Anolis sagrei: one gene and its partners. The protein of the gene in region 3 purifies or fractionates together with the protein of the main gene of each other region. This does not show direct contact. Links are inferred from orthologs where the notes say so. Each region holds a gene or a part of one and is shown on either strand. Other genes may lie near its edges. The genes, in order: SMC3, CDCA5, PDS5A and WAPL.

Region 1 (7,589 bases), on a different chromosome or scaffold from region 3:
CTCCAAGGTCATTTACCTGGCCCTCGCTCAGGGTCAACCTAAGTCTGAAATGACTTGAAAGCACATAACAACAACAATCCTATCTCATCAGCCAAAAGCAGACCCACATTTCCCATTGAAATGCTAACAAGTTTATATTTGTTAAGATTGTTCTTCATTTTAATTATTGTATTGTTTTTAAGTGATTTTGCACTACAAATAAGATATGTGCAGTGTGCATAAGAATTTATTCATTTTTTTTCAAATATACAGTTTGAGGGACTGTGACCTGGCCCTCTGTTTAAAAAGTTTGTGGACCCCTGATCTAGGGGCACTAACCCATGAAATTATGTAACATTAAAAATAACAACAAATGTGCCAGATAAGAAAAAGCAATCAGATAAGAAAAAGCAATCAGTTTCATTCTGAATAGGAAGAAATATATCAAATGTCAATTTCATCTCTAAAAGTTATACTTAAATGCTGCATAAGCCTTTGTATTACAGGAACTTACCAATGACATTATGCTTTGAACTGAAAGGATCTACTATAGTCTGATCTCTGTAGCTGCGAAATCCTTGGATGATCACCTGAAATAAACACATTTATGTTAAATAAACTTTCATAAATACAATTTATTATCAACTACAGCTTTCAAAAGTACAATGTCTCAAAAAGGATAAGAAGTAAATTTGCTATATTCATTTCTATCATTTCCACAGTACGTACAAAAACAATACAATTACCAGGTACCACGTTGTGATGGTAGCCTGCTTCCTGCACTTTCATTATGCAGCCTTCAAGAACAGGTGAAGCAAAACTATGAGTGTGCAATCTCGTTAAGATTAAATGTTAAATTCGGTTTTTAACAAAATCTTCAGAATGAGATTTCAGCTGTAGTTGAGACAGAAAGTCTTGATATATCAGTGTTTTTAGATTAAAACTCATGATTTTTAACTAAAGCTTCAGAGTTATTTTAATCTTCTAGAAGGGGAAAGCATGGTACAAAAGCATCTATACTGCAGAATTACTGCAATTTGACACCCATTTAACTCGCATGGATCAATGCTCCAGTATTCTAGGATTCATAGTTTGATGAGAAGACTTACAAAGACCTTATAACACTGAAACTCCAATGATTGCATAGCACTGTGCCACAGCTGTTAAAGTGGTGTCGAAATGCATGGGTTATATAGTGGTATATTAACTCTGGATCCTAAGCATTCTGGACAAGAAATACTCTGGCCTCTGGTGCCTTTCACAATGCCCCTATACTCCAGAATCTGATCACAGATTATCCTCTTATCCCAGATTATCTGGCAGTGGAGACTCAGGCCCCTTCCACACATCTGTATAAAATCCACATTGAACTGGATTATATGGCAGTGTGGACTCTGATAATCCAGTTTAAAGCAGATATTGGTTCTGTTGGCTCTGTTGATTTTATTGGTCGCATAATGATTTTAATAACTAATTTAAATGAATGTTAACTTGAGGTTTTATATACATTTATATTTATTTTTTACGTTAGATGTAAATTAATTGACAGGTTATGTTATTATTTAATTTCTGGTTATATTATATTGTTTTTAAATGTTTTTTGCACTACAAATAAGATATGTGCAGTGTGCATAGGAATTCATTTTTTATTATAATCCACTCCTTTGAAGACCAATGTTAACAAATATAAACTTATGAGTGTTTCAATGGGAAGTGTGGGCCTGCTTTTGGCTGATGAGATACGATTGTTGTTATTGTGTGCTTTCAAGTTGTTTCAGACTTAGGTTGACCCTGAGCGAGGGCCGGGTAAATGACCTTGGAGGGTCATATCCGGCCCCTGGGCCTTAGTTTGAGGACCCCTGTCCCAGAATATCAAGGCAGAAAATCCCACATTATCTGCTTTGAACTGGGTTATCTGAGTCCACACTCAGATAATGTGGGATTTTCTGCCTTGATATTCTGGGATATAGGGCTGTGTGGAAGGACCCTGGGTTATCTGAGTCCACACTCGGGGCCCTTCCACAGTCCTATATCCCAGAATACCAAGGCAGAAAATCCTGCAATTATTTGCTTTGAACTGGGTTATCTGGGTCTACACTCAGATAATGTGGGATTTTCTGCCTTGATATTCTAGGATATAGGGCTGTGTGGAAGGCCCCCCAGATAACTGAGATTTTTTGCCTTGATATTCTGAGATATAGGGCTGTGTGGAAGGGCCCCAGATAATGTGGGATTTTCTGCCTTGATATTCTGGGATATAGGGCTGTGTGGAAGGATCCTGGGGGTTATCTAAGTCCACACTCAGGGCCCTTCCACAGTCCTATATCCCAGAACATCAAGGCAGAAAATCCTACAATATCCGCTTTGAATTGGGTTATCTGAGCCCACACTCAGATAATGTGGGAGTTCCTGCCTTGATATTCTGAGATATAGGGCTGTGTGGAAGGGCCCTCAGCCAGCACCAACAAGCATCAGATGAAGCCTAATCTGCAATGCCATATAATGCAGTATGAAACTACGTTATATGGTCAGTGCAGACTCATATAATCGTTTAACTACACCGAACTGCATCGCATGGTAGTGTAGATGAGGCCTGCGTGTCGCCGTCGTCGTCCCACTCCCCTCCCAATGTTCATTACATTTTGGAAACTTTAGGTTATTGTGGGAGATAAAATAAAAGATCAACCAGCCGAGGCCTCAACTTTTCTTGTTTACCACTTCATTTTACCACAGAAAGTAAACAAGGCCCGCCGGTGAGGCTGAATCCCCTGCTGATGCTGTCATTCTACAGAGAACGAGGGCCTCAACTGAGTCTCAGGGCCTGGCTTTCGTCGCCTCAACACCCCCAGCCCCCCTTTTTTTTTTACCCCACCAGTCCCTCGCTTTGCAGCCATGAATTCTTCCCAACCGTCCTTTATTGTTTCCAAAGAAAAAAAAAGCCTCCCCCTCACAACCTGAGGGCCTCCTACCTGCTTGATATACATGGCGGCGGCGAAAAGCTCCCTCCTCCCCGTCACTGCGCCCACCGAGAACAAAATGGCGGCAAAGCCTCCCCCTCCCGTTCGCTGTGGAACGTACCACTCTGCAAAGGAAAAGAGGGGAGGATCGTTGGCGAAAACGCAGCAAAAGCCTCGGAAAGAGGCAGAGGAAACGGGTCAGACCTTCCCAAAAGACGAAGTGGTTGCTGTACTTGTGGTGACTGCCCTTTATTTAAAATCGAAGCTAATAAAGCACCATCTCTGCCTCCCCGTTCGGTAGGATTTTGGTTCGGCCCGGCATGAGCGAAATAGGGCGCCAAAGCCAGTGCGGCCAATAGGAGGGGGAGCCTCAGGGAGGAATAGGCGGCGCGATTGCAGGGAGCGCAGCTGCCGCCAGAGGGCGCTGTTTTGCGACTCGCAGAATAACAACATTTTTTTTGTCGTGTCAGGAGCGACTTGAGAAACTGCAAGTCGCTTCTGGTGTCAGAGAATTGGCCGTCTGCAAGGACGTTCCCCAGGGGACGCCCAGATGAACTGATGTTTTTATCATCCTTGTGGGAGGCTTCTCTCATGTTCCCGCATGAGGAGCTGGAGCTGATAGAGGAAACTCATCCGCCTCCTCCGGATTCGAACCCGCGACCTGTCGGTCTTCAGTCCTGCCAGCACAGGGGTTTAACCACCGGGGGCTCCATACAACAACAACAATAACAACAACAACAACAACAATAATGCATGGATGTGCGCCCTCTGTCAGCTCCAGCTCCCCATGTGGGGATATGAGAGAAGCCTCCCATAAGGACAGTAAAACATCAAAAACATCAGCGCGTCCCCTGGGCAACGTCCTTGCAGACGGCCAATCATCTCAGACCAGAAGCGACTTGCAGTTTCGGATACAAAAAAACAACAACAGTAAGGCAGTTACTGAAAATCCAGTCACTGACCAACATGGTCAGAATCTTCAGCACTGACATCAGTATGGAGTTCCTTCCATAAGTTCCAAAAGAGCCAGAATGGCTTTATTATTATTATTATTATTATTATTATTGCAGCCCAAGAACAAGCCATTAGAACCAGTGCCATCAAAGACAGAATTGAAAAGTCTACCACTGATTCCAAGTGTAGATTCTGCAAGGAAGCAGACGAAACAATGGATCACATCCTCAGCTGCCGCAAGAAGATTGTGCAGACGGACTACAAGCAGAGGCATTACTCAGATGGTCCATAGGAAACTTGTGCCACAAATACCATCTGCCTGCAACAAAGAACTGGTGGGATCACAAGCCTGAAAAAATTACGGAAAATGAACACGTCAAATTACTCTGGGACTTCCGAATTCAGTCTGACAGAGTTTTGGAGCACAATTCTCCTGACCTTACGATCGTGGGAAAAAAACAAGTATGAATCATTGATGTTGCAGTACCAGGTGACAGCAGGATTGACAAGTAGCAACTAGAAAAAGTGACACAATGTAAGGATTTAAAGATCGAACTGCAAAGACTCTGGCACAAACCAGTAAAGGTGGTCCCATTGGTGATCAGCTCACTGGGCGCAGTGCCTAAAGACCTTGACCTGCACTTAAAAACAATTGGCACTGACAAAATTACGATCTGTCAGCTGCAAAAGGCCACCCAATTCAGATCTGCATGCATTATGCGACAATGCATCACACAGTCCTAGACACTTGGGAAGTGTCCGAAGTGTGAACAAAAACAAAAGTCAGCGTAGTGATCTTGTTTGCTGTGTACTATTATGTTATAATAATAATAATAATAATAATAAAAATAATAATAGGGCCCCCTGGTGGCACAGCACATTAAACCGTTGAGCTGCTGAACTTGCTGACTGAAAGGTTGGCGGTTCGAATCCGAGGAGCGGTGTGAGCTCTACTGTTAGGCCCAGCTTATTCCAGTCTAGTAGGTAGATAGGTAAGGTACTCCATGCAGTTATGCCGGCTACATGACCTTGAAGGTGTCTACGGACAACACTGGCTTTGCCTTAGAAATGGAGATGAGCACCAACCCCCCGAAGTCGGACACGATTAGACTTAATTTCAGGGGAAACCTTTACCTTAATAATAATAATAATAACAATAACAATAAACTTTTTTTGTATTTCGTCTATCTTCCTGATGGGACTCAGTTTGAATTCCAACATATATGAAAATACATTAAAACCTAATATCGAATTAAAGCCTAATATCACCTAACAGTGCAGGTGATGCAGAGCATCTTCCCCCCCAAGTATTTGTAGTTCACCAAGGGCCGGAAAATGGATTCTGCTGCTTCCTGACCCAGCACACATAACTGGGTTCCTGTTTCCTCTCTGTGAATTCTCTGGCTTGTGCACTGGACCCTGGCCCCTGATCAGGGAAATGCAGTTCCCCAAAGGACATTGCCCCACTCTCCACCATTTTAGACTCTTTGCGGACCTTTCTGCCCTCACTGATTGACTTGATGTCCTATTATCACGAACTTCCTCTACGAACTCAAGGCCAAGCCGCTTGGGGAGAATGGCCCCCGCCTGTGTGTGTGTGTCCTTGCCAAGCAGATCATACCTCAGGAACTCTGATGAATTGCTTTTGCCAATTGTTGTTGCTTCTAATAAACTTTGCTGGGATGGGGATGGGGATGGGATGGGGACCCCCCTTTATGAAATCTATGAGCTTATGAAAGTTTATGAAGAATGTATATGATATGGAAAAATATGAAATCTATGAAATGTACCCTGACCCTCTCCCCCACCTTTTCTCCCTCTGAACTTTACCCTACTAAAGTATGTGACCTGGGATTACAGTTAAGGAAATCCAATTTCCTTGGAAGAAACTCCATTCATATTTACATTGCATGGACAAAGACTGGCAGATCTATGGCTTTGTTTTCAGAGTCAGACGAACAAAAGCCAGAAATCTGTCAGCCAAAAGGCCCGGAAAAACAGACTGATTAAATCAATCATGGTGTTTTGTGTACGCTCCCCTGTGACAAAGGACTCCCTTCGCCACAGGGTTGAGATCCAGACACCACCCATAGCCACCCTTTTTTTTCCTATACACATCCTTTATCGGAACCCAGGAAATCCCTTGTCTCCCCTTCCGCCTCCCTGCCGTGCGAAGAACAAAAGGTGTTCAATCAGCTGGCGGACGCCTCCAGGCAAATCCGCCCCTCTGCGCTGTCAAGATACGTCCCGCCTCCTGGCCGCTGATTGGACAGTCTCCGGAGGCGCTCCAAGGGCTCTGATTGGCCCCCTGGAAGCGACAGCGGCCGGCGATTGGAGGGAAGGCGGGACCAGCGGCCAAGCCTCCTCCCAGCTGTTCTGGAGCCGGCCAATCAGGACAGAGGGAACTGACAGGAGGCGGGCGGGAGATTCAAACCAGGATTTCTTTGTTTTGCCTGTATAAATATACCTGAAATTCACTGTACTGCATGCTTATAGAGGAAATATCCCTGTAATGCATCCTTTTCAGCTGAATCGCTAAATAAACGCTTCGGTCACTGGATACCTCTTCAGCCTCTGGTGGGATTAATTCTTAATATTTTGCGCTTTGGATTGGCTTTTGCTGGCAGCTCACCAAGGTCAAAGATCCCTTTTGCGATCTCCAGGGATCTTCCCCGCTGGGAAGTCCCTCCCAAAAGAGCTCGATATCACAGGCATAGAGATGCTAAATAGACAAACCATAAAGTGCAATCAGCCTGAAGCCTATAAATATCTGGGCACACTACAGCCAAACAATATCAAACACGGACATGTGAAAAATGTGGTCAGCAAAGAATATGTCCAAAAACCACGATGTAGGGATGCTATACTGTATATGTACAGTATCGCTCCACTTACTCTCCCCCCCCCTCCTCTCTCTTTCTCTTCCTCTCCTCTTTCCCCCTCTCTTCCTCCTTCCCTGCCCATCCCTTTGCTGGAGCCACCCTTCTTCCCCCCCCCCCCCGCTTCCCCACTGGCATGGGGCTCTCACCTGGTCACCCGAGGAAGAGCGACCAGGAAGAAGCCGTGATGGAAGCTGCCTTGGCGGTGGCCTTCTCCACCTCAGAAGAAAGAAGAAGAAGCCCCGGTGGAAGCTGCCTTGGCGTCCCTCTCCGTACCTCTCACCAGCGCTACTTCGGCAAGTGGGGTTTATAGATCTGTGTATATAGTGTTCCCTCAGGACTTGTATTTTAAATTAATTTTTTTTTGGAAAAACCGTGAAACAGTGAGTCCACAGGAAGCAAACTGCAGAGTACTGAGGGAACACTGTATTTTGGAAAAAATACAGGTTCCTCGTATAATTTATTTTGAAAGATTGAGAAATGTTGAAGAACAGAGGTGCCAGAGGACTGGAGAAGAGCAAACATTGTGCCTCTCTTCAAAAGAGGTTGAAAAAAATCCAGGGAACTGCAAACCACTCAGCATGACTGCACTATCAGGAGAAAAAAAATGAATTGATTATAAAGGAGTCTGTTTGCAAGGGTTTGTATGACTCTGCATGATTACTGAGAGCTATCATGGGTTTGTTGAGAGCAAATTTAGCCAAATTAATCATACTCGTTTTGATCTGGTCACTAGTTCACTAGGTGTTAGGAATGCTCTAGAATGATCTAGGTCCCCAGGTGTTTTGGCCTACAACTCCCAGAAATCCCAGCCAGTTTA
Region 2 (7,152 bases), on a different chromosome or scaffold from region 3:
TTCCTTCCCCCTTTTCTTATCCTTCCCCTTTCTCTCCTTTCTTCCTTCGTTCCCTCTTTCCTTCCTTCCTTCGCTCTTTGCTTTCATCCTTCCTTCTCTTTCTTTCCTTCTCTCCTGCTTTCTCTTCTTTTTTCCCTCCTTCCTTGGCTCCCTCTTTCCTTCCTTTTTTTCCCTTTCTTTTTCTCCTTCCTTCACTCCCTCTTTCCTTCCTTTTTTTTCTTTCCCTCCTTCCTTCTCTACCTCTTTCCTGCTTTCCTTCTCTCTTTCCTTTCTTTCCCTCCCTCTTTCTCTTCTTTTTTTCTTTCCTTCCTTTTCTAGCTTTCTTTCCTTCCCCTTTCTCTCCTTTCTTCCTTCTGTCTCTTTCCTTCCCTCCTTCGCTCTTTGCTTTCATCCTTCCTTCTCTCTTTCTTTCCTTCTCTCCCGCTTTCTCTTCTTTCCCTCCTTCCTTCGCTCTCTCTCTTTCCTTCCTTTTTTTCTTTCTTTCCCTCCTTCCTTCTCTACATCTTTCCTTCTTTCCTTCTCTCTTTCCTTCTTTCTTTCCCTCCCTCTTTCTCTTCTTTCTTTCTCTCCTTCCTTCCCTCCCTCTTCCCTTTTTTCTGTACTGTCATTTAGTTTTTTGGGGTTTTAAAGTCCTTTTCCACTGACTGATGGTCACTCGTTGGTCTCTTAGGGATATAGTGTCCAAATTTTGTGTCCATTCATCCAGTGGTTTTTGAGTTATGTCAATCCCACAAACGAACACTGCATTTTTATTTATATAGATTGTACTATAACAATATACTGTAATATTATTAGTAATATTACATTCAATATAAAATATATAATCATAATATCATATTATTAGTAGTAGTAGTACTATATTGTATTACATTATAATATTATCAATATTATAAGTATAAACAATATATTATTTTCCCACAAACAAACATTGCATTTTTATTTATATAGATAGAATACTATAACAATATAGTGTAATATTATTAAGAATATTCCATTTAATATAAAATATATAATTATAATATATTATTAGTAGTAGTACTATATTGTATTGCATTATAATATTATCAACATTATATTATATTATAAGCACAGTGCAGGAGTCAAGATGGCCCCTCTCTTTGGTTCTGGAGGGGGGAGGCTCCCAACTGATGACACCCGGACCTTTGGGGTGACCCCCCCCCCCCCGGACCGGACCTAGCTCAAGCACAGTGGCACGAAACGCAAGAGCTGACCATAGCAGACGAGGCGGACGGTCTCTTTGGTGGAGAGAAGGGTGTTGCAGAGCCGACAGTTGGGGTTGTAGTCGCTATCCTGGAGCCACTGCAAGTAAGACTGGACAATGCACTGCAACGCAAGGGAGGGAGGAAAAAGAAAAGCACCATTATAATAATAATAATAATTATAATTATCATCATCATCATCATCATCATCATCATATAATCATAAGCCTCTATTACACTGTTCAACAGAGAAAAAGTTTTGGGCCTGAAAATAGTTGTTCTTATATGATTTTGGGGTGCTGAAAACAAAAATGACATTTAAAAATGTATATTGGCTCTAGTTTTTATGAAATAAGCAATCACGTGACCACGTATGGTTGAAAAAATGCATGTTGCGACTTACACTATGGAAGATTCTAGAATACTCTAGAAAGTTTGATGACACAGTATGAGTGCCGTGTGCAAAAGCCAGAAAGCCCTCTATAAGGCCAGACTTTTGAACAGTGAGGGTCAGTCAGTTGAAGACTGAGACAGTATTGTTAAACATCGTTTTCCATTGTTCTTTTCACTGTCGTTATGCCTCGCATGTGTGTAAATAAAGCCCTATGGAAAAAAGACATCAAGGCCAATGGACTCCGTCAATGCTGTCAGACTCCTGCTGGAGCATTGCAAGAGGGAATCCTCTCCTTGACTACAAAAGAAAAGTCAAGAGAAGCAAACAGGATAGAAACTAAAGTCACGATTAAAGCGACATTTCAACTTTCAGACTTTTCAACTGCATTAGGCCTACTAATAGAGTTCCTTGCTGCACAAACATAAACAATAGACTAATTAAATAAATATTTCTCATGTATAAACTATTGGCAATATAATTGGACTAAAATTTAGTAAACATTCACGTTTTATATACATGCAGTAAGGTTAGGCGCAGTATCATAATATTAACGAATTACCTATTGAGGAGAAAATTGAAATAGCTGTTGCATAAAAACCAGAGCCAATGAACACATTTAATTATTATATTTGAATTCAGCATGTTAAATTAATTAAGAAACGGCACATTTCGTTTCCTTAACTAAGAAAAACTGAAAATTTGTAGAACAGTGTTATTAGAGGCATTCCCCTTGGTGCACTCAGCAGCAGCAACAACAGCAACTTTACCTTGTTGTGATTGGCGACAATGCAGTGCTCGCAGACGTTGACGCGGTGCTCGAAGCAGAAGAGGTTGGTCACCTTCCGCTTGGGGCATTTGCACAGCCCCATGGCAGAGCCTGCAGCAGGAGAAAGAAAAAAGGAATCAATTATATCTATATATATATATACATACATACATATATATACATACACACACACATCCGTCAGTGTTCTGTGTATTTTGATATGTGCATTTTGTAGGAATACATTTTAATATTTGCATTTTAATATAATAATATTTTTAGCTATTGAGCCATAAGGGGTAATAGCTATAATTATTCATATAATAATAATAATATGCACGTGTGAATTTAAGCCAAAGAGCCGGTGTTGTCCGTACATACTATCAAAGTCATGTGGCCACTGGCATGACTGTATGGACTGCTGTTACCTTCCTGCCGGAGCGGAACCTACTGTTCTACTCGCATTTGCATGTTTTCAAACTGCTAGGTTGGCAGAAGCTGGGGCTAACAGCAGGAGCTCACCACACTACCCGGATTTGAACCACTGACCTTTTGGTCAGCAAGTTCAGCAGATCTATATAGGAGTAACATCAATAATATATACATTAATATATATTATATATTATATATACATATTAACAACAATAATATACTAATACTCTCTGATGAGCCACTGCCATGATTCCACATCAAGGGACTATTGGCATTTAAAGCGGTATCAACCCGCATTAACTCCCCGGTGTGTCTTATTTTCCCAGGCCTCCCCCTCCTCACCTTCCTCTTCAGCCTCCTTCCGCCTTCTGCCACGTCTCTTCCGGGAAAGTCGCGCGCCGATGGCGTCACAACCCAGCCGTCGCTTCAGGAAAAAAGGAAACTAAGGAGGTCTAGTCTCGCGAGATGTCGAGACCTCCCGCGGGATTCAGTCTGCCTCTCCTAAAATGGCGCCGGGTGGTTTGTGTATTAGTAGCTGAATGGGAAAAGAGAAGCGACAACCAACTCTCGCGGGATGTTGAGACTTCTCGCGGGATTTGGTTTGCCTCTCTTAAAATGGCGTCGGGTGGTTTGTGCATTAGTAGCTGAATGGGAAAAAAGAAGCGACAACCAACCCAACTCTCGCGGGATGTGGGGACTTCTCGCGGGATTTGGTTTGCCTCTCCTAAAATGGCGCCGGGTAGTTTGTGTATTAGTAGCTTAAATGGGAAAAGAGAAGCGACATCCAACTCTCGCGGGATGGTTAGACTTCTCACGGGATTTGGTTTGCCTCTCCTAAAATGGCGCCGGGTGTTTTTTGTATTAAAAGAGAAGCGACATCCAACTCTCGCGGGATGTGGAGACTTCTCGCGGGATTTGGTTTGCCTCTCCAAAAATGGCGCCGGGTGTTTTTTTTGTATTAAAAGAGAAGCGACGACCAACTCTCGCGGGATGTGGAGACTTCTCGCGGGATTTGGTTTGCCTCTCCTAAAATGGCGTCGGGTGTTTTTTGTATTAAAAGGGAAGCGACGGCCAACTCTCGCGGGATGCTGAGATTTCTCGCGGGATTTGGTTTGCCTCTCCTAAAATGGCGCCGGCTCTGACTATTGTTTTCCTTCTCTTCCACTGTGGTGACGTCACTTCCTGCGTGGAGGTGGCGGGCGATTTCAAAGCCGGAAGAGAGAAGGAAGGAAGGAAGGAAAGCAGGAGGCGATGGCGGGAGGAGGCCGCGGCCTGCCAAGGCGGGCTCGCTCCGCAGGAGAGGCCCGGGCAGGTAGGCCGCAAGCCTGGGAAACAGTATTATCCACTTGGGCCTTGTCTCCAGGTGTTTTGGACTACAAATCCCACAATTCCTCACAGTCTCAGGCCCTGAAAGGGCCTGAGGCTGTGAGGAATTGTGAGATTTGTAGTCCAAAACACCTGGAGACAAGGCCCAAGTTGATCCATGGCTACTCCAGCAGCACTCCGTCCTGACATTTCTCCCACATCTCAGAAGGTTGTGGTTGTTGGCCACCCTGATGAGCACCAAATGGCCTTGCAGCTTCAAAGCCTGGCTGCTTCCTGCCTGAGGGACATCCTAGATATATTTATACCTGTGGAATGATGTCCAGGGTAGGAGAAAGAACTCTTGTCTGCTGGAGGCAAGTCTGAATGTTGTCGTTGGCCAGCTTGATGAGCACTGAATGGCCTTGCAGCTTCAAAGCCTGGCTGCTTCCTGCCATGAGGGAATCATAGATAGGTTTATACCTGTGGAATGATGTCCATGGTGGGAGAAAGAACTCTTGGCTGCTGGAGGCAAGTCTGAATATTGTCATTGGCCAGCTTGATTAACATCGAATGGACTTGCAGCTTCAAAGCCTGGCTGCTTCCTGCCTGAGGGAATCCTAGATATATTTATACCTGTGGAATGATACCCAGGGTGGGAGAAAGAACTCTTGTGTGCTGGAGGCAAGTGTGAATGTTGTCGTTGGCCAGCTTGATTAGCACTAAATGGCCTTGCAGCTTCAAAGCCTGGCTGCTTCCTGCCTTGGAGGGTGGAGGGGGGGGTCCCATTTTCCAGCCTGGAGTTCCCCTGCTGTCTAGTCTTAACCCTCTTCCTTTTTGTTTCAGGCGTCGTTTCCTCTCCTCCAAGGCGAAGGTCCGAACGCACGGCAGCGGCTTCCACGGCGGCTCTGTCTTTATCCGAAAGGAAGGCATGTTTGCGGCCCGGCGGGGCAGACGTCGGTTCGGTGCGTAATGTAAATACCTGTGGAATCTTCAAGCTGGAAGGGACCCCCATCCAGTCCAACCATCTAAGATAGACATCCTAGAGTTTTGGGGAGGCTTCTAAGAGAGATATACATAGATAGATATAGGATTCTAAAGTTGGAAGGGGCACCCAAGGGCCATCCAGTCCAACCCTCTAAGAAATAGGTAGATACATACATACATACATACATACATGGATTGATTGATTGATTCCTAGTGTGGGAAGGGACCCCAAAGGCTATCTAAGAAATAGATAAATAGATACATAGATAGATAGATAGATAGATAGATAGATAGAGATTCATTGGATGGATGAATATGATATAGATTAGATAGATGGACAGACATAATAATAATAATAATAATATAATAATAATAATAAGATAGAGATACATTGGATGGATAGATATGGTATAGATTAGATAGACATAATAATAATAATAATAATAATAAGCTAGAGATTCATTGGATGGATAGATATGATATAGATTAGATAGATAGACATAATAATAATAATGGTAGAGATTCATTGGATGGATAGATATGGTATAGATTAGATAGACATAATAATAATAATAATAATAATAATAATAATAATAATAATAATAATAGAGATTCATTGGATGGATAGATAAGATATAGATTATATAGACAGACATAATAATAATAATAAGGTAGGTAGAGATTCATTGGATGGATAAATATAATATAGATGAGATAGATAGACAGAAATAATAATAATAATATAATAATAATAAGATAGAGATTCATTGGATGGATAGATAAGATATAGATTAGATAGATAGACATAATAATAATAATATAGATAGAGATTCATTGGATGGATAGATATGGTATAGATTAGATAGACATAATAATAATAATAATAATAATAATAAATGGATAGAGATAATATAGATTAGATAGATAGACATAATAATAATCTTTATTTAATACCCCACCACCATCTCCCCAATGGGGACTCGGGGCGGCTTACATGAGGCCAAGCCCAACAGCATATTACAATAAAATAAAACCAAAACACAATAAAATATATACAACGTATGAGTTTAAAAAAAAGCAATAAAGCAAAATAATACACAATAAAATAAAATAACAATGAGCGGACCGCATGTGCAAGACATGGATTGATAGGTGGAGAAACTGAAAGGTAGATAGATAAAATCCTAGTTGGAAGGGACCCCCAAAGGCCATCCAGTCCAACCCTCTAGGACATAGATAGATAGATAGATAGAGATATTGTTTCATTATCCAGAATACATAGCAGCTCACTTTGGAGTTTTTGCAATTTCCCGGCAGCCGCCTGCACCGCTCCAGGCGAAGAAGCCCATCATCACTCTGAGGAAGATTGTGCCGCGATCGAACCGGCAGGTCAGTCAGGCTTTATCAATTTGGCTTTATCAATTCCTATCATCTTTATCTATTATCTCTACCTGTCAATCTGTCCTATCTATCATCTCCACCTGTCAATTATCTATATCTATCTATCGCTCTATCTGTCTGTCTCATTTTGGCCTTTCTTTTTTTGCTCCAGGTCAAAGAGACGGCCATCACGCCCCGACGGAGCCCAAGGGTCAGTCATTATTATCAGAATTAGTATTATTATTGCTATTAATGTTTATTTCTACCTTGCTTTTTCTCTCCACGTAAGAGACTCAAAGCAACCATGTGTTATTTTTAGTATTAGATATTATTATGATATTTATTTATTTATCCCCTGCTTTTTCTCTCCACAAATGAGACTCAAAGCAGCTATGCATCTATTATCAGCATTACAATGTATTATTATTATTATTATTATATTACTATTGGTATAATAAATATTATGTTTATTTATAGTCAAACCCACTATGTACACTATATACCAATAATAATAATAATAATAATAATAATAATAGTAATAGTAGTAATAATAATAATAGGGTTGTTGTGGGTTTTCTGGGCTGTCTGGCCATGTTCCAGAAGCATTCTCTCCTGACGTTTCACCCACATCTATGGCAGGTATCCTCAGAGTTTGTGAGGTCTGTTGGAAACTA
Region 3 (7,155 bases):
AAGCATGTCAAACTCCTCTGTGACTTCAGAACTCAGAGTTTTGGAGCATAATACTCCTGACCTCACAATCGTGTTAAAAAACGAAGTATGGATTGTCAATGTTGCAATCCCAGGTGACAGCAGGATTAAAGAGAAACAACTAGAAAAGCTGACTCGATATGAGGATTTAAAAATCGAACTGCAAAGACTCTGGCACAAACCAGTAAAGGTGGTCCCAGTGGTGTTCGGCACACTGGGTGCAGTGCCTAAAGACCTTGGCCTGCACTTAAACACAATCAGCACTGACAAAATTACCAGCTGCAGAAGGCCACCTTACTGGGATCTGCACGCATTATTCGCCGATACATCACACAGTCCTAGACACTAGGGAAGTGTCTGACATGTGATCCAATACAACAGTCAGCAGAGTGTCTGCCGTGGACTCATCTTGTTGTGTTTCACATAATAACAACTACTTTATTTTTGTACCCCACCTCCATCTCCCCGAAGGGACTTGGGCCAATTTACATGGGGCTAAGCCTTCGAGGCCATACAGCCCAGAAAACTCATAGCAACCCAGTGATTCTGGCCATGAAAGCCTTTGACAACACAACCTGAGAAAGGTTCACCTAAGGCAGTGGTTCTCAACCTGTGGGTCCCCAGATTTTTTGGCCTTCCACTCCCAGAAATCCTAACAGTTGGTAAACAGGCTGGGATTTCTGGGAGTTGTAGGCCAAAACACTTGGGGACCTACAGGTTGAGAACCACTGACCTGATTCTAAGGCAGTGGTTCTCGACCTGTGCGTCCCCAGGTGTTTTAGCCTACAGCTCCCAGAAATCCCAGCCAGTTTACCAGCTGTTAGGATTTCTGGGAGTTATATTAATTGTATTGTTTTTGCTTACTGTTTTTTGTTCTATTGATGTGTTGTCGGGCTTGGCCTCATATAAGCCGTTCCGAGTCCCCTTGGGGAGATGGTGGCGGGGTATAAATAAAGTTTTATTATTATTATTATTATTATTATTATTATTAAGGCCAAAACATCTGGAGACCCACGGGTTGAGAACCACTGACCTAAGGGTGGGGTTTTTTTGTACCATTTTTACATCATAGCCTAGATGCTTATGCCAATTTTCAAGGTATCACACTATGAAGCCAACAAGCTCATTGGAACCAATCTTCATTGGTTCAGATCAATGATTCTTAAATCTGAAACCTAAGGGTGTTTTTTTTGTTGTTGTTGTGTCAGGAGCAACCTGAGAAACTGCAAGTCGCTTCTGGTGTGAGAGAATTGGCCATCTGCAAGGACGTTGCCCAGGGGACGCCCGGATGATTTGATGTTTTATCATCCTAGTGGGAGGCTTCTCTCATGTCCCCGCATGAGGAGCTGGAGCTGATAGAGGGAGCTCATCCGCCTCTCCCTGGATTATTATTATTATTATTATTAAACTTTATTTGTACCCCGCTAGCATCTCCCAGAGGATTCGATGCGGCTTACAACAGGCCGAGGCCACAACAATACAACATAGCAATACAATCAAGCAAATCAAACAATTAAAACAAATTAAAGCAAAATAAACAACAAGCACAGTACATTAAAACACAATAAATCTGGGCCGGGCCAAAAGGTGGGTACAAGGATTAAAAGTGCTGATTTGACAGGAGGTGTATATAGGGCTTCCAGGGCACGTGCGATGTGCAACAATCATTGGTTCTGGTAAAGTGCTTGTGGGACTCGGTAGTGGAGGAAGCCAGGTTTTTAAGTTCTTTCTGAAAATAGCCAATGAAGGGGCCTGTCTAAGGTCTTTGGGGAGGGTGTTCCAGAGTTGGGGGGCCACTACGGAGAAGGCCCTGTCCCACGTCCCCACCAAGCGCGCCTTCGAACCTGTGACCTGTCGGTCTTCAGTCCTGCTGCCACTGCGCCACGGGGGGGGGGGGGGGCTCCTTCTCGACCTGTGTGTCCCCAGGTGTTTTAGTTTACAGCTCCCAGAAATCCCAGCCAGTTTACCAGCTGTTAGGATTTCTGAGAGTTGAAGGCCCAAACATCTGGTTGAGAACCACTGACCTAAGGGGTCACCATGAACTGAAAAGACTTGAAGGCAGATATCAACAACAACTAAAGTCATATGAAAACCAGGACTTACCTTGAGTCGCTTGACCACTTCATCGTTGGTAATTTTGTCCGTGATCTCTTTGACTCCCGGAGGATAGAAGATGATCTTGCCATCGGCAGGAGGCTTTGGTTGGGCGGGTGGGAACTCCATCCTGGCGCTGCCGGTGAGGAAGTTCTCCTCGCCACAGTCCTCTACCGGCCTCTATCGGTCAGAAAACAAAAGTTCAGCAGGAGAGGAGCGACTTTCCAAACCTTGCCACCCTTCCCCCCCAGATTTCCAACCCACGATTGGGAAAAAAAGAAAAGAAAGAAGCAGGGAGGCCCAGCGGCGAGACCCGAGGCCTCCCTCCCTTCCTTCCCTCCCTCCCGCCTCGGCTAGGCCCACACGTCGAGGCCATGAGTTTGGCAGTCCAATCAATCACAATGAATCCCCTCCCCCGAAAATTAGAAAATAAGAGAGGGGGGCCTTCTTGCTTCCTCTCAGGAAAGATGCGGAAAGGAGAGGCGGGGAAGCCCAGCCACTCTGAGGCAGGCGTTTGCTTGCTGGATTGCTTGATTGCCTGGAGCGGGCGGCGAGGCCTAAACTGCTAGGCCTCAAAACTATGAGCAGTCCCAGAAACCCTCAGGAGGAGGAGGAGGAGGAGGAAGGGGCAAACGAAGGGGATTCTGAGGGAGGCTGGGAAGGCCCTCCCTCCACTTGGCGGGGCTTTCCCTCAACTTCCACCTCAGGACCCTTCCTCCTCCTTTTCCCCCTCAAGTTGATTCTTGAGGGGGAAATATTTCTGTTTCCCTCACAAAATCCGCCACGATGGCGAAGGAAGGGGGGAGGGGGAAATAGGGACCACTTCCGACCCCCCTCCCCCTTCTACCCCCCTGCCTGCCCACCTCCTGCAGCTCCGGAAGGTGCAGCATTGAGCGGCCTGCGGTGGCGCCTCTCAAGAAGGACGCGGCGGCGGCGGCGGTGGCGGCGGGGGTGGCGAGGGCTCCCTTGCACCCTGGCGAGTCCTCCCTTCCTTCTTCCCCCGTGGCTGGCTGCCTCCCTCCCACCCTCGGCTGCTCGTGTGCGCCTCTCGGCGGGGAAACAGCGCCACCTCTCGGCCGGCCGGGGAACCTCAGCAAAAGGGGAGTCTTCCGGGAGCCGCCTCCGCCCTTTTTAAAAAGGCCCGCCCCGGAGCATTCTGGGAACGGAGGCTTTTAAAGGCCCAGGCGGGCTGGCTGAGCTCCTCTTTGAGGATGCTGCTGCTGCCGGTTGGGCACTCCTCATTTGGCGCCAAGATGGAGGGAAGCCACAGTAACAAACAAATCTTTGGGTTTTCTGTGAGTTTTCCGGGCTTCATGGCTCTGTCCCAGTAGCATTCTCTCCTGACGTTTCACCCAATCTATGGCAGGCATCCTCAGAGGTTGTGAGGCTTGTTGGAAACTAGGTAAGTGAGGTTTTACGAGGGGTTGTTGTTGTTCATTCGTTCAGTCGTCTCCGACTCTTCGTGACCTCATGGACCAGCCCACGCCAGAGCTCCCTGTCGGCCGTCACCACCCCCAGCTCCTTCAAGGTCAGTCCAGTCACTTCAAGGATGCCATCTATCCATCTTGCCCTTGGTCGGCCCCTCTTCCTTTTGCCTTCCACTTTCCCCAGCATCATTGTCTTCTCCATATATTCTGAATTCATAGACAGTGGCCAGTCTTTATTTTTGTTGTTGTTCATTCGTTCAGTCGTTTCCAACTCTTTGTGACTTCATGGACCAGTCCATGCCAGAGCTCCCTGTCGGTCGTCACCATCCCCAGCTCCTTCAAGGTCAGTCCACTCACTTCAAGGATGCCATCCATCCATCTTGTCCTTGGTCGGCCCCTCTTCCTTTTGCCTTCCACTTTCCCCAGCATAATTGTCTTCTCTAAGCTTTCCTGTCTCCTCATGATGTGGCCAAAGTACTTCAACTTTGTCTCTAGTATCCTTCCCTCCAATGAGCAGTCAGGCTTTATTTCCTGGAGGATGGACTGGTTGGATCTTCTCGCAGTCCAAGGCACTCTCAGAACTTTCCTCCAACACCACAGCTCAAAAGCATCTATTTTCCTTCGCTCAGCCTTCCCTAAGGTTCAGCTCTCACATCCGTAGGTGACTACAGGGAATACCATGGCTTTGACTAGGCGGATCTCTGGTTGCTTCTGGATCGAGAGAATCGGCCGTCTACGAAGACGTTGCCCAGGGGACGCCTGGATGTCTTGCAATCCTGCGAGGAGGCTTCTCTCATGTCCCCCCCCCCCCCCCATTTAGTGAGCAGACTCTTCAGGCAGCGCAGAGCATTGTTTCCTCCATCTCTGAAGCCAAGAAAGAACAGTGGATCAAGCTGGTCACAGAGGTCGACATGGGCAGGAGCAGCCAGAAGGCGTGGAGGCTGCTGAGACGGCTGAGCAACAACCCCTCACAAACTAATACCCATGCCAACATAAAGGCAGATCAGATAGCACACCAACTCCTGAAGAATGGGAAACCCAACTTTGCCACCAAAGTAGGAAAGAAAACAATAGCCAGACAACCAGAGATTGAGAACAACAACCTCCATGAACCTTTTACATCTACTGAATTCGACATGGCTCTCAACAAATGTAAGAATGGCAAAGCAGGTGGCCTGGATGATCTACGGATGGAACAAATCAAGAACTTTGGTCCAAAAGCAAGGCCCTGGCTGCTGGAGCTGATGAACAACTGCACTGCATCCTGTCAGATCCCCAAAATCTGGAGGAAATCAAGAGTCATCGCCATCGTGAAGCCAGGCAAAGACCGTAATGACCCCAAAAGCTACAGACCAATCTCCCTGCTGTGCCACCTCTACAAAGTTCTGGAGAGACTTATTTTGCATAGAATTACAGAAAAAATAGACCCTTGTCTGATCCCACAGCAAGCTGGCTTCAGAAAAGGCAAAAGCTGCACATCGCAAGTGTTGAACCTGACTGAGCACATAGAAGATAGTTTTGAAAGGCAGCAGATCACAGGAGGTGTCTTCATAGACCTGTCGGCAGCCTATGATACTGTGAACCACCGCGTCCTCCTGAGAAAAATGTATAGTATCACAAAGGACTACCACCTCACCTGCCTCGTAGGAAACCTGCTACAAAACAGGAGCTTTTTTGTTGAATTCCAGGGCCAGAGAAGCAGATGGCGGAAACAGAAGAACGACCTGCCTCAGGGGAGCGTGTTTGCTCCATCCATGTTCAACATCTACACAAATGACCAGCCACTGCCAGAAGGGACAGAGAGTTTCATCTATGCTGATGATCATGCCATTACCTCTCAAGCAGGGAGCTTTGAGATGGTAGAACAGAAGCTCTCCGAAGCTCTAGGTGTTCTCACTGCCTATTACAGGGAAAACCAGCCGATCCCTAACCCATCTAAAACACAGACATGTGCCTTTCATCTCAAGAACAGAGAAGCATCCCGAGCTCTGAAAATCACCTGGGAAGGAATCCCACTGGAGCATTGCAGTGCACCCAAGTACCTGGGAGTCACTCTGGACCGTTCTCTTACCTACAAGAAGCACTGCCTGAACATCAAGCAAAAAGTGGGAGCTAGAAACAACATCATACGAAAGCTGACTGGCACAACCTGGGGATCACAACCAGACACAGTGAAGACAGCTGCCCTTGCGCTATGCTACTCTGCTGCTGAGTATGTATGCCCAGTGTGGAACAGTAGATGTGGCTCTTAATGAGACATGCCGCATTATCACAGGGTGTCTGCGCCCTACACCACTGGAGAAATTACACTGCTTAGCCAGAATTGCACCACCTGACATCCGCCGGGAAGTAGCAGCCAGTAGTGAAAGGACCAAGGCAGAGACATTTCCAGCTAATCCCCTGCTTGGGTATCAGCCAGCACATCAACGACTTAAATCAAGACATAGTTTTCTTAGATCTACAGAGACACTCACTGGAACACCCCAGCAAGCAAGAGTCCAAAAGTGGCAGGCCCAAACCCAGCACCTCAATCCATGGGTGATACCAGATGAGAGACTCCCCCCTGGGCACACAGAAGACTGGGCGACTTGGAAGGCGCTGAACAGACTGCGCTCTGGCACCACGAGATGCAGAGCCAATCTTAAGAAATGGGGCTACAGGGTGGAATCCATGGCATGCGAGTGCGGAGAAGAACAAACCACTGACCACCTGCTGCAATGCACCGAGCCCTGCCACATGCACAATGGAGGACCTTCTTGTGGCAACACCAGAGGCACTCTAAGTGGTCAGATACTGGTCAAAGGACATTTAACCAACTACCAAATTTGCAAAATTTGTGTTTTGTTTTTTTCTTTTTAATCTGTGTGTTTGTTTTGCTCTGTTAGAACTGTAATACAATGGTATCGTTGCTGATGACACGATAAATAAATAAACCCAATCTATGGCAGGCATCCTCAGAGGCTGTGAGGTTTGTTGGAAACTAGGTAAGTGAAGTTTTATATATCTGTGGAGTGTCCAGGGTGGGAGAAAGGACTCTTGTCTGTTTGAGGCAAGTGTAAATAATAATAATAGTAATAATAATAATAATTAGAATCATAGATTCAAAGAGTTGGAAGAGACCTCATGGGCTATCCAGTGGTAGAGGACGGAAACGAGGTGCCCAGGAGCAGCGATACTTATGTCGCCCACGGATGAAGAATCATTTGAAGGTTTCTCTGAGAGTGAAATGAGTGAGGAGGAGGAAGGAGATGCAGATGGGAATAGAGGCATTAAAAGGATTACTCGAGAGCAAGGAGCGTCAGAGAAAGAAGATCCGGGACTGAGGAAGAGGATTTCATGGGCTTTTCTGGGAATGATGGGTCTGGAGGTAGTGGGGATGAAGAGGAACCACTGGATTGGATCAAGGTTCAGGAGATTCAGAATGTATGTACTCAACCAACATCCAGTGACATTTTTGAGGGATTTTCTGGTGGCAGGGACTGGCAATCTGGTGGTACCATGGAATCGTGGGGAGACCTAAGTCTTGACAAAAGGTGGAAGAGTTGGAGGGATGGGCATTGGCGTTCAGCTGTAGAGGCTAAGCCAGCTGATAGTGATGAGGATGGGGTTGAGGGCA
Region 4 (7,387 bases), on a different chromosome or scaffold from region 3:
GGCCGGTTATGTGTCACTGCTTGCAATAAGAGGTAAATGTATTGTCGAAGGCTTTCATGGCCGGAATCACTGGGTTGTTGTAGGTTTTTCCGGGCTATATGGCCATGTTCTAGAGGCATTTTCTCCTGACGTTTCGCCTGCATCTATGGCAAGCATCCTCAGAGGTAGTAAGACCTTATTACCTCGGAGGATGCTTGCCATAGATGCAAGCAAAACGTTAGGAGAAAATGCCTCTAGAACATGGCCATATAGCCCGGAAAAACCTACAACAATGCAATAAGAGGTAAAGCCACAAGTGAGAAGATGATGGTTATCCAGATTTTACTACATGAAAAGAGTTCTGGCCCTGGTTCAGCAGTGAATGCAGAAAGTATGATTCAAGGTACAGGGTTAGTCAAAATGAATAGGCCAATTCGGCTACAATTAATTTTCTTATTGGCCTATTCATTTTGACTAACCCTGTACTTCTCAAGAAAAGGACTTTGATCAGGCAAAATAAATTGTTAAAATGCAAGGACATTAACTAACGTTGTTCACCTGTCTGTCTGTCTGTCTGTCTATGTATATAATAAAAGTGAACTTATGTATGTATGTGGGTGGCGGTGTTTGTATGTTTGCGGCGGATTTCCTATCGGCTCCTACTTCCAGAGACCAGTGTGACCCCCCATCAATGATGGATCTGGACCAAACATGGCACACAGAACCCCCAGGACAAACAGAATATACGGGAGGAGTTTTGGGGGAGTCTGACCACAATGGGTGGGAATTGTAGTTCATCCTACATCCAGAAAGCACTCTGAAGCCCACCAAATTTGACTTGATCGAAGTCAAATTTGGCACACAGGAACTACAGAACATACTCATTATGCACAGCGCATTTTTATATATATAGACTTTGGTTTAAGCAAGAATCAACAGGAACAAAAAAAGGAAGAACCGAAAAAACACCAAGCCTTAAGTGCAAGTAACAAAGGTAGGTGACTATTTTAAAAATGCAAAGGTAGAAATGCTATTCTAAGCACATTTTACTCTGGAAAACAAGCCACACCAATCTCAGTGAGACTTACTTTCAAGCATATGTGCATATGCTTATGATCCCGTTTAAGAGGCCTTTGAGTTTTTAAACTTTTGGGACAAAGAAAAGACGGATTTGACGAAAAGGTCAGGAATGGAAGCCCAGAAATTGGAGTCATTGATATGGTGATTAAAACAATAAACATGAAAGGCAGTACCACAGGTCATGTGAAGGACAACACAACAGTATTCCACACATCCAATCCCCTGGTAATATAGACTGAAGCCACTTCTATTTAAATGTAAATATTTGGTTAATTTGAAGATGTTTCTAACACCACTTCCATTCAAGCCTGCATTTCTCCCTATACATTTCAAGTTACAGGGTAACTTGTAACTGGACAAGGGAAGAGTCGCCATGAACTCATAATTCTCCATACATTTTCCAGAGATAAATTTCTTTCAAGATTCAGTTGGAGAAAGGCACTTATCTGTTTTTTCTTAGGTTGTGGTAAATATTTGCACTACATATGTGACCTTTTCAGGTAAAACATCTATAAGAATATGATAATTATCTGTTTGCATGAATGAATACTAAATATGTTGTCGAAGGCTTTCATGGTCGGAATCACTGGGTTGCTGAGTTTTCCAGGGTGTATGGCCATGTTTCAGAATAATTCTCTCCTGACATTTCACCCACATCTATGGCAGGCATCCTCAGAGGTTGTGAGGTCTGCTGGAAACTAGGCAAACAGAGTTTATATATCTCTGGAATGTCCAGGATGAGACTTGTCTGCTTGAGGCAGGTGTGAATGTTGCAATTGTCCACCTTGTTCAGCATTTAATGGCCTTGCAGCTTCAAAGCCTGGCTGGTTGCTGCCTGGGGGATCCTTTGTTGGAAGGTTTGCTGGCCTTGATTGATTCTTGTCTGGAATTCTCCTGATTTTTGAGTGCTGCTCTTTATTTACTGTCCTGATTTTAGAGGGTTTTTTTCATACTGGTAGCCAGATTTTGTTCATGGTTTCTTCTTTCAGATAAAGAAAATCCCACATTTTTTGCTTTGAACAGGAGTATATGCAGAGGCGGCCCTAGGTAATTTTCAACGGTAAGCAAACATTATTTTGGGTTCCCCCCAACCAATCATTGATATATATTTTCTGTTCGCCGTGAGAGTTCTTTGTGCCATATTTGGTTCAATCCCATCATTGGTGGAGATCAGAATGCTCTTTGATTGTAGGTGAACTATACATCCCAGTAACTACAACTTGCATATGTCAAGGTCTATTTTCCCCCCAAGAACGCCTCAAGAGTGCCCCTGGGCAAAATCAACTATACTGCGAATGCTTACTTTGCGTAAGGGGTTGAGCTGCCCCTGAATATATGGCAATGTGGACTCAGATAATGAGTTCAAAGCAGATATTGTGGGTTATTCTGTCTTGATATTCTGAATTATATGGCTATGTGGAAGGGCCCAGAGATGGAGGAGGCTGCAAAGGCCATCATTCTAGTCCAACCGTCTTCTGCTAAGCACAAATACACACTTAAAGCACTCCTGAAAGATGCCTTTGTTTAAAGACCTCCTGCTTTCCGCTGTGAAACTGTTCTTACAATAAAGATGTTTCTCTTAAGGTTTAGGTGCAACGTATGTCCTTGTAATGGAATCCTTGTTTCAACAGTAGAGATAGGTTGGCAAAGGTTGATTTCCAAATGTTCAGAGTCTTGCTTCTTTATTAATCAATTAATTATTATCCAGCCTTTCTTGCAGGACAGGACCAAACCTGGCATAGGTAAAGATAAAGGTTTCCTCTCAACATTAAGTCTACTCTGGAGGTAATCAATGCTAATCAAGGTGGTCAGTTGAAACATTCACATCTAGCTCCAGCAGACAAGAGTCCTTTGTCTCACCCTGGTCATTCCACAGATATATAAACCCTTTTTCCTGGTTCCAACAGACCTCACTACCTCTGAGGATGCTTGCCATAGATGCAGGCGAAACATCAGGAGAAAATGCCACTAGACCATGGCCATATAGCCCAAAAAAACCCTACAACAGCCCAAGGCTTTGAATGTTGCTTCCTTGCTTATTCAAGAAGGAATTTCATAGAGTTTGGTTGTATTATCTGCCATACTGAAATGCTGTATGTACTCTTTGACTCTTAAAGAAGATATATGGGATTTCATGAAAGAGACACACATGTACTCTGTTTACTATGATGCAGCCATGAAGCCCCCAAAGAGCTACTGCTGCCACCAATATTTTTAGCATTACAAAGGGCTAGAAGTGGCACCAGAGAAGCCAGAGGTACGAAATTAATCCACGAATAAACCCATACGAGCACAATTCAAAGTGCTGGTTTTGACCTACAAAACCCTATATGGTTCCGGCCCGGTGTATCTGTCCGAACGGATCTCCCTCTATGTCCCGCCTCGGAGTTTAAGATCTTCTGGGGAGGCCCTGCTCTCGACCCCCCCCCCCCCCCTATCACAAGTGAGGCTGGCGGGGACGAGGAGCAGGGCCTCCCCAGAAGATCTTAAACTCCGAGGCGGGACATAGAGGGAGATCCGTTCGGACAGCATATTATTTGAGAACACAGAAATGCTGGACCACTCTCACAACCACCATGCCAGACTACACAGAGAAGCCATTGAAAACCACAAGCATGTGGACAATTTCAACAGAAAGGAGGAAACCATGAAAATGAACAAAATCTGGCTACTAGTATCAAAAAACTCTAAAATTACAACAGCACAACAACAGAGAGGAAACAAACAAGAACATCTAATCACCTCTCAACCAAAGTTTGCTCTAGGCACAGTCAGGCCATTATATGCTTATCAAGGTGGTCAGTTGAAACATTCACACCTAGCTCCAGCAGACAAGAGTCCTTTGTCTCATTCCACAGATATATAAACCCTTTTTCCTAGTTCCAACAGACCTCACTACCTGTGAGGATGCTTGCCATAGATGCAGGCGAAACGTCAGGAGAAAATGCCACATGGCCATATAGCCCGAAAAAACCTACAACAACCCAGTGATTCCGGCCATGAAAACCTTCGACAATAAATCAAAGCTATACGTCCCACATGGAAGAATACAAAGGCAGGGAAGCTGCCAAGGCGGCGACTAGGGCCATAAAGCAGAAGAGACTCCGAAAGGGAAGAAGAAACCAAATCCGATCAACTTTTTTCTGTGCCGCGCGTTCTGCGCATGCGCGCCCAACGGCCGGCGGCGCATGCGCGCTGCGGCCCGGCTCGTCGGTTGAGTAAGGCGGGCTGCGATTGGCCGCGGCGGCGACGGCGAGCGAGGCCGAGTGTGTGAGGCGCAGTGACGGAAGGAAGGCAGGCAGGAAAGCAGGCAGGCAGGCGAAAGCGGGGGGCCAATGGCGGAGAGATGGTCCAGGGCCCTGTTGCAGGAGTAGTCGACACCGTCCCGGCGGCTCCCAGGAAGCGGCGGCGAAGGAGGCGGCGAAGGAGGAGGCCGCAGACTCTGCCGGGAGGCCTCGACGCCGGCGCCTTCACGCGGAGAAGGAGCAGCCCAGGCCCGGGGGCGTCGCCCGAAGACGGCGAGCGAGCAAGGAAGGGGGAAGGCGGCGGAGGCGCCCCGAGAGTGACGTGCGCGCCAGGCCGGGCCCTCTCCTCCTCCTCCTCTTCCTCCTCAAGGCGGCCTTCCTTGCTCACTTCTTCCCTTTTTTGAAAAACAAACCTCATAATTTCCTCCTTCGCGTCACTGGGCCTTGCTGAGGTAAGTCCTGTGAGGCAGAGGAGCGGGGAGAGGCCCAGCCAACTTCCTCAGGCCTTGCCTTGCTTTGGGAGGCAAGAGACGACTGTCTTTCACGCTCTTACGCAAACGACACTCTCTCGGCCTCAGAGGGAGGCCCAGACTCCCCCCCCCCCCAACAAATACTGTCTTATGAAAGGCTCGGGCCTAGGACGCCTCTCCGGCCTCTTCTACACTGCCATACAATATCCAGATTGTCTGCCTTGAACTACCAGTGTAGACTCATATAATCCACTTTATCTGATTTGATAATCTAGATCAGGGGTCCTCAAACTTTTTAAACAGAGGGCCAGGCCACAATCCCTCAAACTGTTAGAAGGCCGGATTATAATTTGAAAAACAAAACATGAATGAATTCCTATGCCCACTGCACATATTTGTAATGCAAAAACCACTTAAAACAATACAATAATTAAAATGAAGAACAATTTTAACAAATATAAATTGATTAGTATTCTAATGGGATGTGTGGGCCTGCTTTTGGCTGATGAGATAGGATTGTTGTTGTTGTGTGCTTTCAAGTCATTTCAGACTTTGTTTGACCCTAAGCGAGGGCCAGGTAAATGACCTTGGAGGGCCGCATTCGACCCCCGGGCCTTAGTTTGGGGACCCCTGATCTAGATTATAGGAAACCTCTCCGGACTCATCTACACTGCTATACAATATCCAGATTGTCTGCTTTGAACTACCTATTATATGCCAGTGTAGACTCATATAATCCACTTTATCTGATTTGATAATCTAGATCAGGGGTCCTCAAACTTTTTAAACAGAGGGCCAGGTCACAGTCCCTCAAACTGTTGGAGGGCCGGATTATAATTTGAAAGAAAAAAAATGAATGAATTCCTATGCCCACTGCACATATTTGTAATGCAAAAACCACTTAAAAACAATACAATAATTAAAATGAAGAACAATTCACCCTGATCTAGATTATAGGAAACCTCTCCGGAGTCATCTACACTGCTATACAATATCCAGATTGTCTGCTTTGAACTACCTATTATATGCCAGTGTAGACTCATATAATCCACTATTTGATTTGATAATCTAGATCAGGGGTCCACAAACTTTTTAAACAGAGGGCCAGGTTGCATGGATGTGTGGGCCTGCTTTTGGCTGATGAGATAGGATTGTTGTTGTGTGCTTTCAAGTCATTTCAGACTTAGATTGACCCTAAGCAAGGGCCAGGTAAATGACCTTTCCCGGGCCTTAGTTTGGGGACCCCTGACCTAGATTATAGGAAACCTCTCCGGCCTCTTCTACACTGCCGTACAATATCCAGATTGTCTTCTTTGGACTGCCTATTGTATGCCAGTGTAGACTCATATAATCCACTTTATCTGATTTGATAATCTAGATCAGGGGTCCTCAAACTTTTTAAACAGAGGGCCAGGTCACAGTCCCTCAAATTGTTGGAAGGCCGGATTATAATTTGAAAAAAACAAAACATGAATGAATTCCTGTGCCCACTGCACATATTTGTAATGCAAAAACCACTTAAAAATAATACAATAATTAAAATGAATAATTTAAACAAATATAAATTGATTAGTATTTCAATGGGAAGTGTGGGCCTGCTTTTGGCTGATGAGATAGGGTTGTTGTTGTTGTTGTGTGCTTTCAAGTCATTTCAGACTTCATTTGACCCTAAGCAAGGGCCAGGTAAATGACCTTGGAGGGCCGCATTCGGCCCCCGGGCCTTAGTTTGGGGACCCCTGATCTAGATTATAGGAAGCCTCTCCGGCCTCTTCTACTTCCATACAATATCCAGATGTATGGATGCTTTGAACTACCAGTGTAGACTCATATAATCCACTTTATCTGATTTGATAATCTAGATCAGGGGTCCGCAAACTTTTTAAACAGAGGGCCAGGTCACAGTCCCTCAAACTGTTGGAGGGCCAGATTATAATTTGAAAAAAACAAAACATGAATGAATTCCTATGCACACTGCACATTATTATTATTATTAACTTTATTTGTACCCCAAGGACTACTTTGTTGACTGTAGGATTTATATATTTTAGTTTGGAAAATAATATTGCATAGTAATTATTAATATACGTAATTCCTCGAGTTTACATATTGACAGGCACTGTAGTGAGTATTGCATGAAGGAAAATTATATGTTACAGCAGTGTTTCTCAACCTGGGGGTCGGGACCCCCCTGGGGGTCACGAGGGAGTATCAGAGTGGTTGCCAAAGACCATCAGAAAACATAGTATTTTCTGTTGGTCATGGGGGTTCTGTGTGGGAAGTTTGGCCCAATTCTATTCTTGGTGGAGAACATAATACTCTGATTGGAGGTAAACTATAAATCCCAACAACTACAACTCCCAAATGTCAAGGTCTATATTCCCCAAACTCCACCAGTGTTCACATTTGGACATATTGAGTATTTGTGCCAAGTTTGGTCCAGATCCATCATTGTTTGAGTCCACAGTGCTTTCTGTATGTAGGTAAACTACAACTCCAAAACTCAAGGTTAATGCCCAGCAAACCCTTCCCATATTTTCTGTTGGTCAAGGGAGGTCTGTGTTCCAAATTTGGTTCAATTCCGTTGTTGGTGGATTTCAGAATGCTCTTTGATTG

What was found.
Region 1: the proteins of PDS5A (region 3) and SMC3 purify together in Homo sapiens (affinity purification with western blotting; 8 studies listed by BioGRID and IntAct, with this or other methods). This does not show direct contact. The link is inferred for Anolis sagrei from reciprocal best matches to the Homo sapiens genes PDS5A and SMC3.
Region 2: the proteins of PDS5A (region 3) and CDCA5 purify together in Homo sapiens (affinity purification with mass spectrometry; 4 studies listed by BioGRID and IntAct, with this or other methods). This does not show direct contact. The link is inferred for Anolis sagrei from reciprocal best matches to the Homo sapiens genes PDS5A and CDCA5.
Region 4: the proteins of PDS5A (region 3) and WAPL purify together in Homo sapiens (affinity purification with mass spectrometry; 6 studies listed by BioGRID and IntAct, with this or other methods). This does not show direct contact. The link is inferred for Anolis sagrei from reciprocal best matches to the Homo sapiens genes PDS5A and WAPL.

What each region holds. Positions count from the first base shown.
Region 1 is NC_090023.1:209,666,147-209,673,735, forward strand, and holds the start of SMC3 (structural maintenance of chromosomes protein 3), read right to left. Parts: upstream 3,054-7,589; 5' UTR 2,964-3,053; coding exon 2,949-2,963; intron 570-2,948; coding exon 494-569; intron 1-493. UniProt on the Homo sapiens protein: Central component of cohesin, a complex required for chromosome cohesion during the cell cycle. The cohesin complex may form a large proteinaceous ring within which sister chromatids can be trapped.
Region 2 is NC_090032.1:22,246,092-22,253,243, reverse strand, and holds the start of CDCA5 (sororin), read left to right. Parts: upstream 1-4,010; 5' UTR 4,011-4,060; coding exon 4,061-4,121; intron 4,122-4,957; coding exon 4,958-5,076; intron 5,077-6,415; coding exon 6,416-6,487; intron 6,488-6,650; coding exon 6,651-6,689; intron 6,690-7,152. Other genes in the region: ZFPL1 (zinc finger protein-like 1), read right to left, coding at 1,233-1,344, 2,382-2,483. UniProt on the Homo sapiens protein: Regulator of sister chromatid cohesion in mitosis stabilizing cohesin complex association with chromatin. May antagonize the action of WAPL which stimulates cohesin dissociation from chromatin.
Region 3 is NC_090025.1:80,315,137-80,322,291, reverse strand, and holds the start of PDS5A (sister chromatid cohesion protein PDS5 homolog A), read right to left. Parts: upstream 3,172-7,155; 5' UTR 3,003-3,171; coding exon 2,976-3,002; intron 2,293-2,975; coding exon 2,122-2,292; intron 1-2,121. UniProt on the Homo sapiens protein: Probable regulator of sister chromatid cohesion in mitosis which may stabilize cohesin complex association with chromatin. May couple sister chromatid cohesion during mitosis to DNA replication.
Region 4 is NC_090023.1:160,376,788-160,384,174, forward strand, and holds the start of WAPL (wings apart-like protein homolog), read left to right. Parts: upstream 1-4,278; 5' UTR 4,279-4,756; intron 4,757-7,387. UniProt on the Homo sapiens protein: Regulator of sister chromatid cohesion in mitosis which negatively regulates cohesin association with chromatin. Involved in both sister chromatid cohesion during interphase and sister-chromatid resolution during early stages of mitosis.